Regions from separate parts of the Mus musculus genome. Here all the other regions are reported to be linked to region 1. Evidence: microRNA targets listed by miRTarBase, many of them from high-throughput screens and not tested one by one. Region 1 holds a microRNA gene; each other region holds the end of a gene's coding sequence. Distances are between the middles of the regions.
Evidence for each region. Region 1 holds the annotated microRNA mmu-miR-1896 (CUCUCUGAUGGUGGGUGAGGAG, at 2,114-2,135, shown strand). A microRNA usually pairs through its seed, bases 2 to 8, with sites in the 3' UTR of a target mRNA and lowers its output. Matches are read on the target gene's strand: a 7mer-m8 pairs with bases 2 to 8, a 7mer-A1 pairs with bases 2 to 7 and ends in A, and an 8mer does both.

Region 1 (4,672 bases):
ACCAAAAAAAAAAAAAAAAAAAAAAAAAAAAAGGGCATGAAACAGAAGATTAATGTCAGAATTGCACCTAGGTGCCTAGCAGTCCTTGGCCTGTCCCCTCCTTAGACATGACTGGCAGCAAGCTGACTAGGTTTACCATGGATCTGTTTTGGACTGACTATCCTTTTCTATCGGACAAGAAAAATAAGCATTTCTATGTTGCTAAGTTCTTGGCTTATTTGTAAGTCAAGTGTAGTGAAACCAAGTTGTAGTCAGTACAAGGGTCCCCTTCTCTTCCCAAAGCGGCATAACTTAAGAAGCCCTTTCCCTGAGAAGTACACCCTGTGCAATTACCAACCATAAGCCATGTTTAGCAGTCGGGTGCTGGGCTTGGGAAGACTCCAAGCTTATTACTTTTCATCACTAGCAAGACAGTCAATATGACCTGATGGCCATGATCTCTCCGAGCTGATTTGATTTGCATGGTCAAAATAATATCAAAACAAGTAGCATTTAAATTTGCATCATTGGTATCAAAGGGGGAAAACCCCATTTCCCCCCATGGGACATTCATGAAAAAAGGTGTCCTTCAAGCAGTCACTGTACTGGCACTGTTGCTGCCCAGTAAGGAGGTCGCTGCTTAGAATACTTCAACACAGTTCACTCAAATGACTCAAAGTCTCTTGCATAGTTTAGGTAAAACTTTGATTTATAATTTGAAACACTGTGATACTGTGGTTAAAATGGGCAGGAAATGTAAAATGACATGAGCTAATCCTAAGGGTAGGTTCTATAGTTAAACAGCAAAAGCTTTCAGAAATGCATTCATTGATGGTACAAAGGTAAAGTGGATATGAAGCCAGTGTTTGTGTGAACCTAACAGGGAAAATGTTCAGTTAACCTACGTTAGACCCTTGAGGATGTGTATTTCTAAGCATTATTAGATTTATTTTGGGCTTAAAAATATTTTACCAGTTGTGTGTGTGTGTCCACCAGTTTCTGTGGACCACTGTGTACAGAAGCCTGAGAAGGCTAGCAGATCCCCAGAACTGGAACTGTGAGACGCTGTGCTATGGAGGTGCTAGGAACTGAAAATGGATGGGTCCTCTGCAAGAGCAGGTATGTTAACTGCTAACTCTAGCTCCTTAGGATTTGTCTTTTCACATGTATGATGTTTGCAGGTATGGCTCTACATACGTATGGACACATGTGCACTTAGATTATCATCAGGAGTCTTCCTCAAGAACTCCACCGACTGCTCTCCAAACTCCCTCCCCTGAGTCCAAAGTTTGCTGATACAGCTAGTCTGGCTAGCCAGCTTGCTAGAAAGATCCCATTTTTGCCACCTGAGGGGTGGGACCACAGGCCACAGGCTGGCCACATACTCATTTGACTTTACATGGGTGCTGGGGATCCAAAACAGTCCTTCCACTTGCATAGCAACTTGGTTAAACCACTGAGCATATCCCCAACCCTCATTAATTTTATGTTTTAGGAGCCTGTTGCTACAGTACTTACAAAAATATCAGCTTGATCTTGTCCTGTATAAATCTATAGGCACTTGACTTACTGATTTCAAACACTTCATTCACACATAAAGCTAATACTTAAGAGATACATAATCAAGTACTTATCACACTGAAAGCTCTGAGAAGCTCTGTAGTGAATATTTGTTTAACTCTGATTCTGCTATTCTGGTAAATTATTATAGTCTAATTATGACTTTAAGTAAAGCCAAGAGAGGGACACAACGGAGGCAAATGGCTTCCAAGAATCCTGAAGCCGTCGTGAGTTCTTTCAAAAGGCGCTGTTTGCTTATCAATGTAACATTTCCATGTTTCAAACAGAGAACCTCATCAAGCCAGTTTGCTTTTATGGTGATGTCTCTGATGCTGAAAGAGACCAGACTTCTGCCTGAAGGCTTCATTGCATTCACTGCACTTGTAGGGTTTTTCTTCATTGTGGATTCTAACATGCTGATCTAAGTGTGAATTTAGGCGGAAAGCTTTCTGACACACATTACATTTGAAAGGTTTTTCTCCAGTGTGAATCCTATGATGTCGAATAAGGTCGGAGGTCAAGCTGAAGGCTTTCCCACACTCATTACAGTGATGTCTTTTGGAACGACCATGGACTCTCTGATGGTGGGTGAGGAGGAGGGCCCGACTAAAGGTTTTCCCACACTCCTTGCATTCTCGGGGCTCATCCTGACTGTGAATTTTTTGGTGTCGATTAAGATGAGAGCTTCGCCTGAAGTTCTTTCCACAATGGATACACAGATAGGGTTTTTCTCCAGTATGGATCCTGAGATGCTCCAAAAGACCTGCATTCTGGCTAAAGACTTTTCCACACTCTTTGCACTGGTAAGGCTTCTCCCCAAGATGGATTTTCTGATGTCTGATGAGGTGTGAACTTCTCTGAAAGACTTTCCCACACTCTTGGCAGGGATGACCTTTGTCTTTAGAGATTTCCTGATGGTCAGCAGCAACAGAACTCTGAGATCCTACAGATTCCCAGGACATTTCTCCTGTATGTGCCCTGTCATGTTCAATCAGGCCTGAGTTCTGAACAAGTCTCTCCTTAGTTTCCAAGCATTGGCTGTTAGTTTTTTCCTTGGGCATGGCTGGATTCTTTTTCAAGCTCAGGTCCTCACACTGGGCCTCAATGGGTTCAGTCATGGTACAAGATGATTCCATTCTTCCACAAGAGTCTGTCCCTGCAATGAGATTCCCATTCTCACTCCTTGTCTCTTTACCTGAAATAGTAAATATATATATCACTAATTATTTTATTTTTGGTGTTCAGGGAAAGGAATCTGCAAATAGCAGGAAATACTTAAATAAAGCCATGTGTATAAATGTAAAAACATGTTATGTGTGTTTTATTTGCATGTATGCATGTACACAACATGCATGCAGTGCCAAGGAAACCGTAAGAGGCTGTCCAGTTCCCGGAAACTGGAGTTACAGAATGTTGTGAGCTGCAATGTAGTTGACAGGAACTGAAACCAGATCCTCTGTAAAAGTTTTCTTAAGAGATGAGATCGCTTCAATCCTCACAAAGTAAAAAAACAACAACAAAATTTTGCTCATGATTATTTTATATATATATAAAGAGTGATTTACAAGAAACTGTGGTTTTGTTTGTTTTTTTTGAGGTAAGTTTTCACTATGCAGAATAACATGGCCTAACCTAATCCTCTCCTCTCAGGTCCCACAGTTACAGCACCACCACGTCCAGCCTGACATCTGGGAAAGTGTTAACCAGATTGGCTTTGGGGAAGGGCAGGGGTTGTGGTGGGAGGTGATTTATTTTAAATGTTCTATATTTTATTATGTGACATATGTTACACACACAGAAGCTACTAAGCATGACTGCATATTCTTGATCATGATTTGTCACCTGGGAAACAAAAAAGCACCATAAATCAGGTCACCCGAGGACCATCAAGTTAAGCAGGGAAGGTACTTTGACAAATGAAGATGAGTTGACATGGTGCCAATTTTATCACTGAGTAGTATGTAATCTTGGAAAAAGTGTTTACGTTCTTAACAATAAATCAACAGTACCGGGAGCATAAGACCTTGAGAATAATGCATTCACAAAAACATCATGTTGAAATATGATTTGTTCCCCTCAGAGGGGATCTATAGCAGATTCAGGGCACAAAACAAAACTTGGCTCTTTAACTATGGAAAGAGAGAAAGAAGCCAGAAACTGGAAGCTAACTTCCCGTGAGCGAGCAGGCGAGGACACTGACCCAGACAGTGAGTGAATGGGGAGCCTGGAGCAGGGGATAGAATGAATGAGGCAGGAGGGAGCCAGAAGAGAGAAACAGGAAGGGGAAATGGAAACAAACAGGCCAACAGAGTGCGGGTGAGTGGGAGGCGCAGCACAATTCGCTATTGCCTGAGGAGAGCGAAAGCTCTATCTCTCGGTTCCTCTTCCCAATGTGGCCACAGTACTTCATGTGAAAAAACAGAATAGCATTTCCCAGTTCACTAAGGGATCTAAGCAAGGAGAGACATCTATACATTCGTATTTAAGTGACAGAGAAGACTACAACATAACTTAGTGAAAGCATCAAAGACATTAGAGAGTTCAAGGCCAGCTGATCTACATAGTTGTAGTTGAGATCAATCAGAGCTGCACAGGAAGACCCTGTGTCAAAAAAAAAAAAAAAAAAAAAAAAAGAAGGGGGTGGGGAGGGGAGGGAGGGGAGAGAGAGAGAGAGAGAGAGAGAGAGAGAGAGAGAGAGACTGAGACTAAAAGTAAGAAATAGAACAGTAACAAAGCAGAGCCAAAGAAACTGATTAACACCCCACCCTCAGCACTGCCATTCACAGTGATTTGAAGGAGCTAGGAAAGGGAATAAGGAAACTCTGTCTGAGACTTTTTTGCCTCAGGGAAGAGCAACAGGTAGGCTCAGCTCCACTTCTTGGTGTGTTGTTCATTCAAATTGTTTGGAGTTGTAGATCTTTTAAATCTTGACTGTGTTACTAAGTTTATTGTATATACAAAAACAAACAAAACAACAACAACAACAAAACAAAAACCTGCACTGACTAGAGAGGCTACAGTTTAGATTATGTATACAAATTAAGCCACAACAGGCCTAATAAAAACAAATACCAAAATGCCGAGTGCCAAGGCAGAGGCACTGCATGGCCTACCATAATTCAAATGCAAAAAG
Region 2 (3,000 bases), not on the chromosome of region 1:
TGTTAATAAAAGCAGTATAACCAGGCAGTGGTAGTGTATGGCTGTAATCCCAATGCTCAGTAAATCAATCAATCAATCAACCAATCAATAAATAAATAAATGTGATATGGGGACCAAGAGCTTGTGTCTTTCCAATGTACTCAAATTTTTTTCCCCATTTTTAATTAGGTATTTAGCTCATTTACATTTCCAATGCTATACCAAAAGACAAGTTTTTTTAAAAGAGATGTAGAATCTAAATAATTTTTATGAGTGGCTATTGCAAAGCTCTTCTGTTATGAAGCAACACTTACTAATGTATCTTTTCAGTGCTCAACATTATGCTGGAGGATGGAAGGAATGGGTAACCTATGAAATTTCAGAGGAGAAACAAGAAAGTTGACTTTTGGAATTACAGACTCGGTGTTCATATCTATAAGGATGGTGGATTAAGCAAAAGAAAAACCCAGCCCTGGCACCAAAGGCTAATAGATTCTGGATGACTGCTTGGCGACCGTTTTCCTCATCTGAGAACTGAGGGTGCTGCTCCCCTGAATATTTCAAAGTCTACTGCACACTGAGATAATATGAGTTGCCACTGAAATTATATTCTACAGTTCATTTTGTTATTCTTTTCTCATACATTACACCCGAAACCAAAGTTTCCCCTCCCCTCCCTCTACAATTAATTTTTAAGTATTTTGGTGTTCCAAAATGATCAGATAAGCTGGCGGTGGTGGCGCACGCCTTTGATCCCAGCACGTGGGAGGCAGAGGCAGGCGGATTTCTGAGTTCGAGGCCAGCCTGGTCTACAGAGTGAGTTCCAGGACAGCCAGGGCTATACAGAGAAACCTTGTCTCGAAAAAACAAACAAACCGATCAGATAGCTCCAGTTATCTAGCCATGTGTCATCACGGTTGTGAGCAAAACCAGTGTTAACAAGCAGCCCCAATTTTAAACAATAACTGAGCTTCTGGTTTGAGACCCATATTTTTAGGTCCAATACTGGAAAGACGGAGGCAGAAAGATCACCATGAGTTTGAGTCCAGCTGGGACTACGGAGACTCTGTTTCAAAAGAAAAGACTCTGGGGTCTGGAGAAGTCAACTCTACTCAGGAAAATATATTCACAGCATCTGAAGACTCATGGCAATGTGTGGGCAGAGTAGTAACAATTCAACTCATTCTAAAAATTATAATTAATGTGAGGATAAGAATCTGATGGGTTTTGACTGTGGAGAGCAAAGTAACCTAGAAGAGGCCAGGAATTGGTGTGGGATACTGGAGATGTTCTGTGGCCATGACTGAAAACGTCAGGAGTGTGTGTGTCAAAACTCATCAAAGGAAGCATAAAAATGAGTGTTTTTCCACGTCAATATACCTCAATTTCAAAACTAATAAAATATTAAAGTTTGACTCCCTCCAGCATGCATGTATTTCTTTAAAGTGTTAAGTTATATGCTTGTTGGTGTGCTGGCATCATAGTAACAAGGTAAACTTGTTTTCCTGCCTGCTGCTTCTGACCATTTGTTTTGACTCTCATTTGTGTAGTTATTTAGATCAGGTAGGACCCACCCAGCAAAGCTCTCCAGGTACTTCCTTCTGCAAAATAAGTGGAAGCCATTGAAAAATGTGGAAATACAAACATTTGAACATCTGTCTCCACAACAGCAGTCTGATTTCTTGATTGTTCATACTAGGAAAGCTGCAACACACACACACACACACACACACACACACACACACACACATACACACACACATAGGCACAGGTTAGCGTACTTCAAGACAGTACTGAAGCAGCAAGGCTTTGGAAGATCTATGAACTTAAGGAGAAAGTAAACTGTAGAGGATGTACCAAAATTGTAGTACTGGGCCCATCAACTAACAGCCTGGCTAGTACCTGGCTTTTAGTTACAACTAATGGTGCAGTTAAGCCATAAATTGACCAGTCCCCTCAAGAACTAAATGTCAACTAAGATCCAAATGCAGGTGTCTTCCTGAACCTCTGATAGATGAATATGTAAATATGATTACCCTCCCATAAGGTTTCATATGCACACTAAAGTATGAATCATAATTCATTCATGTGTCACCAAATGTTCTTTCAACTATTTAGAAATTCAGCAAAATTCTTAAGGCCAGGCCAAAAAGCAGGTGACAAACCAGATATTGCCTATAGAATACAGTTTGCGGTTATCCTACAGGTGAATGAGAGCCAAAGGCTATCTCAAGTTTTCATATGTAATGTCCAGACTTGTATCAAAACTTGCTAGGCACAACAGGAGTCAGGATCTCTTTTGGTTTGTTTTTGTTTGGAGACACTGTCTTACTGTGTAGCTGTAGCTGGCCTGGAACGCATACATACACCAGGCTGGCTTCAAATTCAGAGACTGCCTGCCTCTGCTTCCCAAATGCTGGGATTCAAGGTGTGGGCCACCAGCAGGAAATAGTATCTTATAATTGAAAAGTAGCAGGAAGAGGCTAGAGAGATGGCTCAGCGGTTAGGAGCGCCGACAGCTCTTCTGAAGGTCCTGAGTTTGAATCCCAGCAACCACATGATGGCTCACAACCATCTGTAATGAGATCTGATGCCCTTTTCTGGAGTGTCTGAAGACAGCTACAGTGTACTTACATATAATAAATAAATCAAAAAAAAAAAAAAAGGAAAAGTAGCAGGAAAAAAGGAGCCTGGTATGGTGTTATATTCTTATAACTCTGACATTTGGGAGGTGAAGGCAGGAGGAGTCAAGGTCCTCCGTTACACAGAGAATAAAAGGCCAGCTTGAGCTATATGAGGCCTTACCTCAGAGGAAAATAGAAGAGAGCCAGAGGGGGTTTATATATTGGACTTTCAGACACAAGGATTAAAGTAACTGTTGTCCTAGTTTGATTTTCTATTTCTGTGAAATAACACCATGACCACAACTATTCTTATAAAGGAAAATATTTAACTGGGGCTGGCTTACAGTTCAGAGGTTTAGTTCATTATTGTCATGGCAGGAAACATCATGGCTCACAG
Region 3 (3,000 bases), 91 Mb from region 1:
AAGTGTTCTCAAGGTCCGAGTCCACCCAGCCCCTGCTAGACTCGGAGGAGCGGCCAGAAGACCTGCAGCTGGTGGATAGTGTAGACGGTGGGGATGAGATCTTGCCCAGGCAACCGTATTTCAAGCAGAACTGCAGTCAGCCTGAAGCCTGTCCAGAGATTTCACATTTTGAAAGGTCAAACCAGGTTTTGTCCGGCAATGAGGAGGATTTTGTCAGACTGAAGCAGCAGCAGGTTTCAGATCACATTTCTCAGCCCTATGGATCCGAGCAACGGAGGCTGTTTCAGGAAGGCTCTACAGCGGATGCTCTTGGCACGGGGGCTGATGGACAGATGGAGAGATTTGAATCTGTTGGAATGGAGACCACAATTGATGAAGAAATTCCCAAAAGTTACTTGCCACAGACTGTAAGACAAGGTGGCTACATGCCGCAGTGAAGGACTGGCTCCTGAACTTCAGCAGGAACTGCAAAATAAAGCTAAAGACGAGTGGCTTCAGATGAGAAACAGTCCTCACTCCCTGAAGATAGGCATTGCCTCTAAGGACAAAGTCACACCTGGGCCGTCTCCATTCCAGAGTAGCTGGAATTCTCCTTCAAGCACTACATGAACTGACTTTATCCTCTATAGCTGGAGGACTCTGTGCTCTTTCAGAATGTTTGCACTGCCGAAAACAAAGTGTGTCTGAGTTTATAAAGCTGTTGGTTTGCTACATAGAAAACGGGGGATTTAAATGAGCCACAATGTCATGGCATCGTTCAGCTGGGCTGGTTTTGATGAGACTGACCATCCAGATGCCAGCGAGAAGGCCAGCAGCATCATTTAAAAGTGCCCTGTGGCACAGTGTCCAGATTATGTCATCTAGAAGACGAAAGAATGGAGGGGTGGCTCGTTTCTGGGTCTGTCAGAGAAGCATGGCCTGCTCCTTGCTGTTGGTATCGATGCCGGTTACTACTGAGGAAGAGGATAAACTTTAAAGAGAAGCAACATAGAAGCACCCGCTTTCTTATAGTCACCTACAGCCTCCCAAGAAACTGCTTATTATTGAAAATGTCTTTCCGAGTCAATTTCATCCACCCTATAGTGGACCAGGCTGGCCTCAAACTCAGAGATCTGTCTGCCTCTGCCTCTGCCTCTGCCTCCAGAGTACCGGGATGAAAGGCAGTGCACCACCACTGCTCCACTTACGAAGATTGCTGTTTTTAAAGACTTAAGTTGTTGACATTTTTCTGAACACACATAACCACACCAGGGACAGATGATTCTAGAGACTGGTTGAGGAAGCACTTTATCCAGAATGTCTTCAACTTTAAATTACTTTAATTGACTCCACCTTGTTTTGATTTTCAAGAATAGCAGGGTGTTTGTTGAAGGGTGGCATTTCCCAGAGCCTCATGCAGTCCCAGAACACACATCCCAACCATGTCAGCGACCACCACAATGACAGAAGTCCTCCTACAGAGCTGAGGAAGCTGGAAGGGTCCTGCTAGTTTGCAGGGTGGGCTTTGAACCCACAGCCCTGTGCATGCTAGACATTCACTCTACCGCTGAGCTGCTCCTCCGCCCGGCTCATTATGTCATCTAGGCTCTCGTGATCCTCCTGGCCCAGCTTCCTGACTGTCTGGGACTGTGGATGTGTGCTGTCACACACCCAACCAGGTCTTTTTAATATCTGCCATTTATGAGGTAGAGTTTTTACACGACTTAGGACTATCTTAAACCTATTCCTTCTAGTTGCTTTATTAAGGAATAGCCTAGGCATCCAGTGTTTAGCACTAAAGCCATTAATGTATTTGTGCCTAACTTCCCAGTGTGACATGGAGGTGGGGGCTAAAGGTAGACACTGGGCAGACAGGAATTGGCTGAGCGCCGTTAGAGGCTGATCACTAAGTGTGCTCACAGGAAAAGGGTTGAAGTTTCAGAGCATGGGCACCCAGATCATTTATAGCGGTTACCACACAGTGCCTAGGAGGAGTTGATATGCACTTAGTTGGATGCAGTTTCACCTTTTACTCTCAGAAGGTTGTTTATATTCTACTTGCTGATGTGTTATCATTTATATTTTTATACTGGGTAGTCCTTTTCTGTGTTCTTTCACATGTATAATCCTCGTGAGACTGTACATGCTTTGCTCTGGTATATTCAGTTGCCTCCTTGGCAAAACCAGCCTGGAATTGCCAAAATGCCGGAAGTGAAGGGAGATGGTGAAAGTCGGGCACAGGAAGGCCAGGTCAGGGGCAGAGAGACCAGAATTCACACTACAAGGCTGGCACCATTGCCATTCAAGTTGGACGTCAAAGCCTGATCCCAGTTAGGACTGAGTTTTCTATGTATATATCTGCCAGGAAGTTAACACTTGCTGAATTTCTCATCTTCTCACAGTAAGCAGTCTAGTTATGGGACTCTATCCATGTTCAGCTGTGACTTCCCTCATATCAGACAGTGGTGCTGTGAACGTTGCAGTGTGAAGTCTGTACTGGCTAGGGATGGTAGCCCAGCGTGAGTTCAGGCATGAACATAGAGGCCACTGAAGGAAGAGCCTCCTGGAAGCAAGTTGGCACGTTAAATCCCAGACAGAAAGTGTCCCAGGGAGCCAGGGCCTCCGCCAGCAGGGAGGGGGTGTGCTCACTGCAGGAACGTTCATTTAGAAGATGTACCATGGAGCACCTCCCTTTGCTCTAAGAGAAAACCCATCTTAAAGTTCATCTTGAATACAGACTTCGCTCGAGCATGTTTTAGAATAATCTGGATGCTGTACCTTGTACCTTAGGTAGCAGAGAAAGTAATCTGGCGTCTTTCTGTAAAACCGTCTAATAAAGCTAGTTCTGCCCGTGGGCTCGTATTCTTTCGTGTGTAAAAATGTAGTGTAAGGCGCACCAGAGAGCAGCCTGGCTTGTGGCCAGGGCTAGTCCACTGCTTCCCATGCAGTTGCCTCTCGAGGACTCAAAGAAAAAGGAAGGTTTAATGCTGAGTCGCCGTTACAAAACCTAGCGTTCCCATC

Region 2: the mRNA of Tstd3 is a reported target of mmu-miR-1896. Seed matches in the 3' UTR shown: 7mer-A1 at 823-829.
Region 3: miRTarBase lists Il6st as a target of mmu-miR-1896. Seed matches in the 3' UTR shown: 8mer at 904-911, 7mer-m8 at 1,105-1,111 and 7mer-A1 at 2,774-2,780.

Annotation. Positions count from the first base shown.
Region 1 is chr13:21,443,096-21,447,767 of GRCm38, forward strand. It overlaps Mir1896 (microRNA 1896), which reads left to right and starts at 2,065; the gene lies at 2,065-2,145. Zscan26 (zinc finger and SCAN domain containing 26) reads right to left here. Exons shown (of 6, transcript NM_001347491.1): 6 at 1-2,734. The coding sequence ends at 1,836. 4930470G03Rik (RIKEN cDNA 4930470G03 gene) reads left to right here. Exons shown (of 4, transcript NR_151504.1): 3 at 976-1,098; 4 at 1,827-3,735.
Region 2 is chr4:21,755,785-21,758,784 of GRCm38, reverse strand. Tstd3 (thiosulfate sulfurtransferase (rhodanese)-like domain containing 3) reads left to right here. Exons shown (of 4, transcript NM_029840.1): 4 at 310-1,403. The coding sequence ends at 382. It also overlaps a transcript of Ccnc not described here. Among named protein-coding and RNA genes, the nearest start is that of Tstd3, 9.9 kb to the left of the region's middle.
Region 3 is chr13:112,504,009-112,507,008 of GRCm38, forward strand. Il6st (interleukin 6 signal transducer) reads left to right here. Exons shown (of 17, transcript NM_010560.3): 17 at 1-2,852. The coding sequence ends at 437. Among named protein-coding and RNA genes, the nearest start is that of Il6st, 41 kb to the left of the region's middle.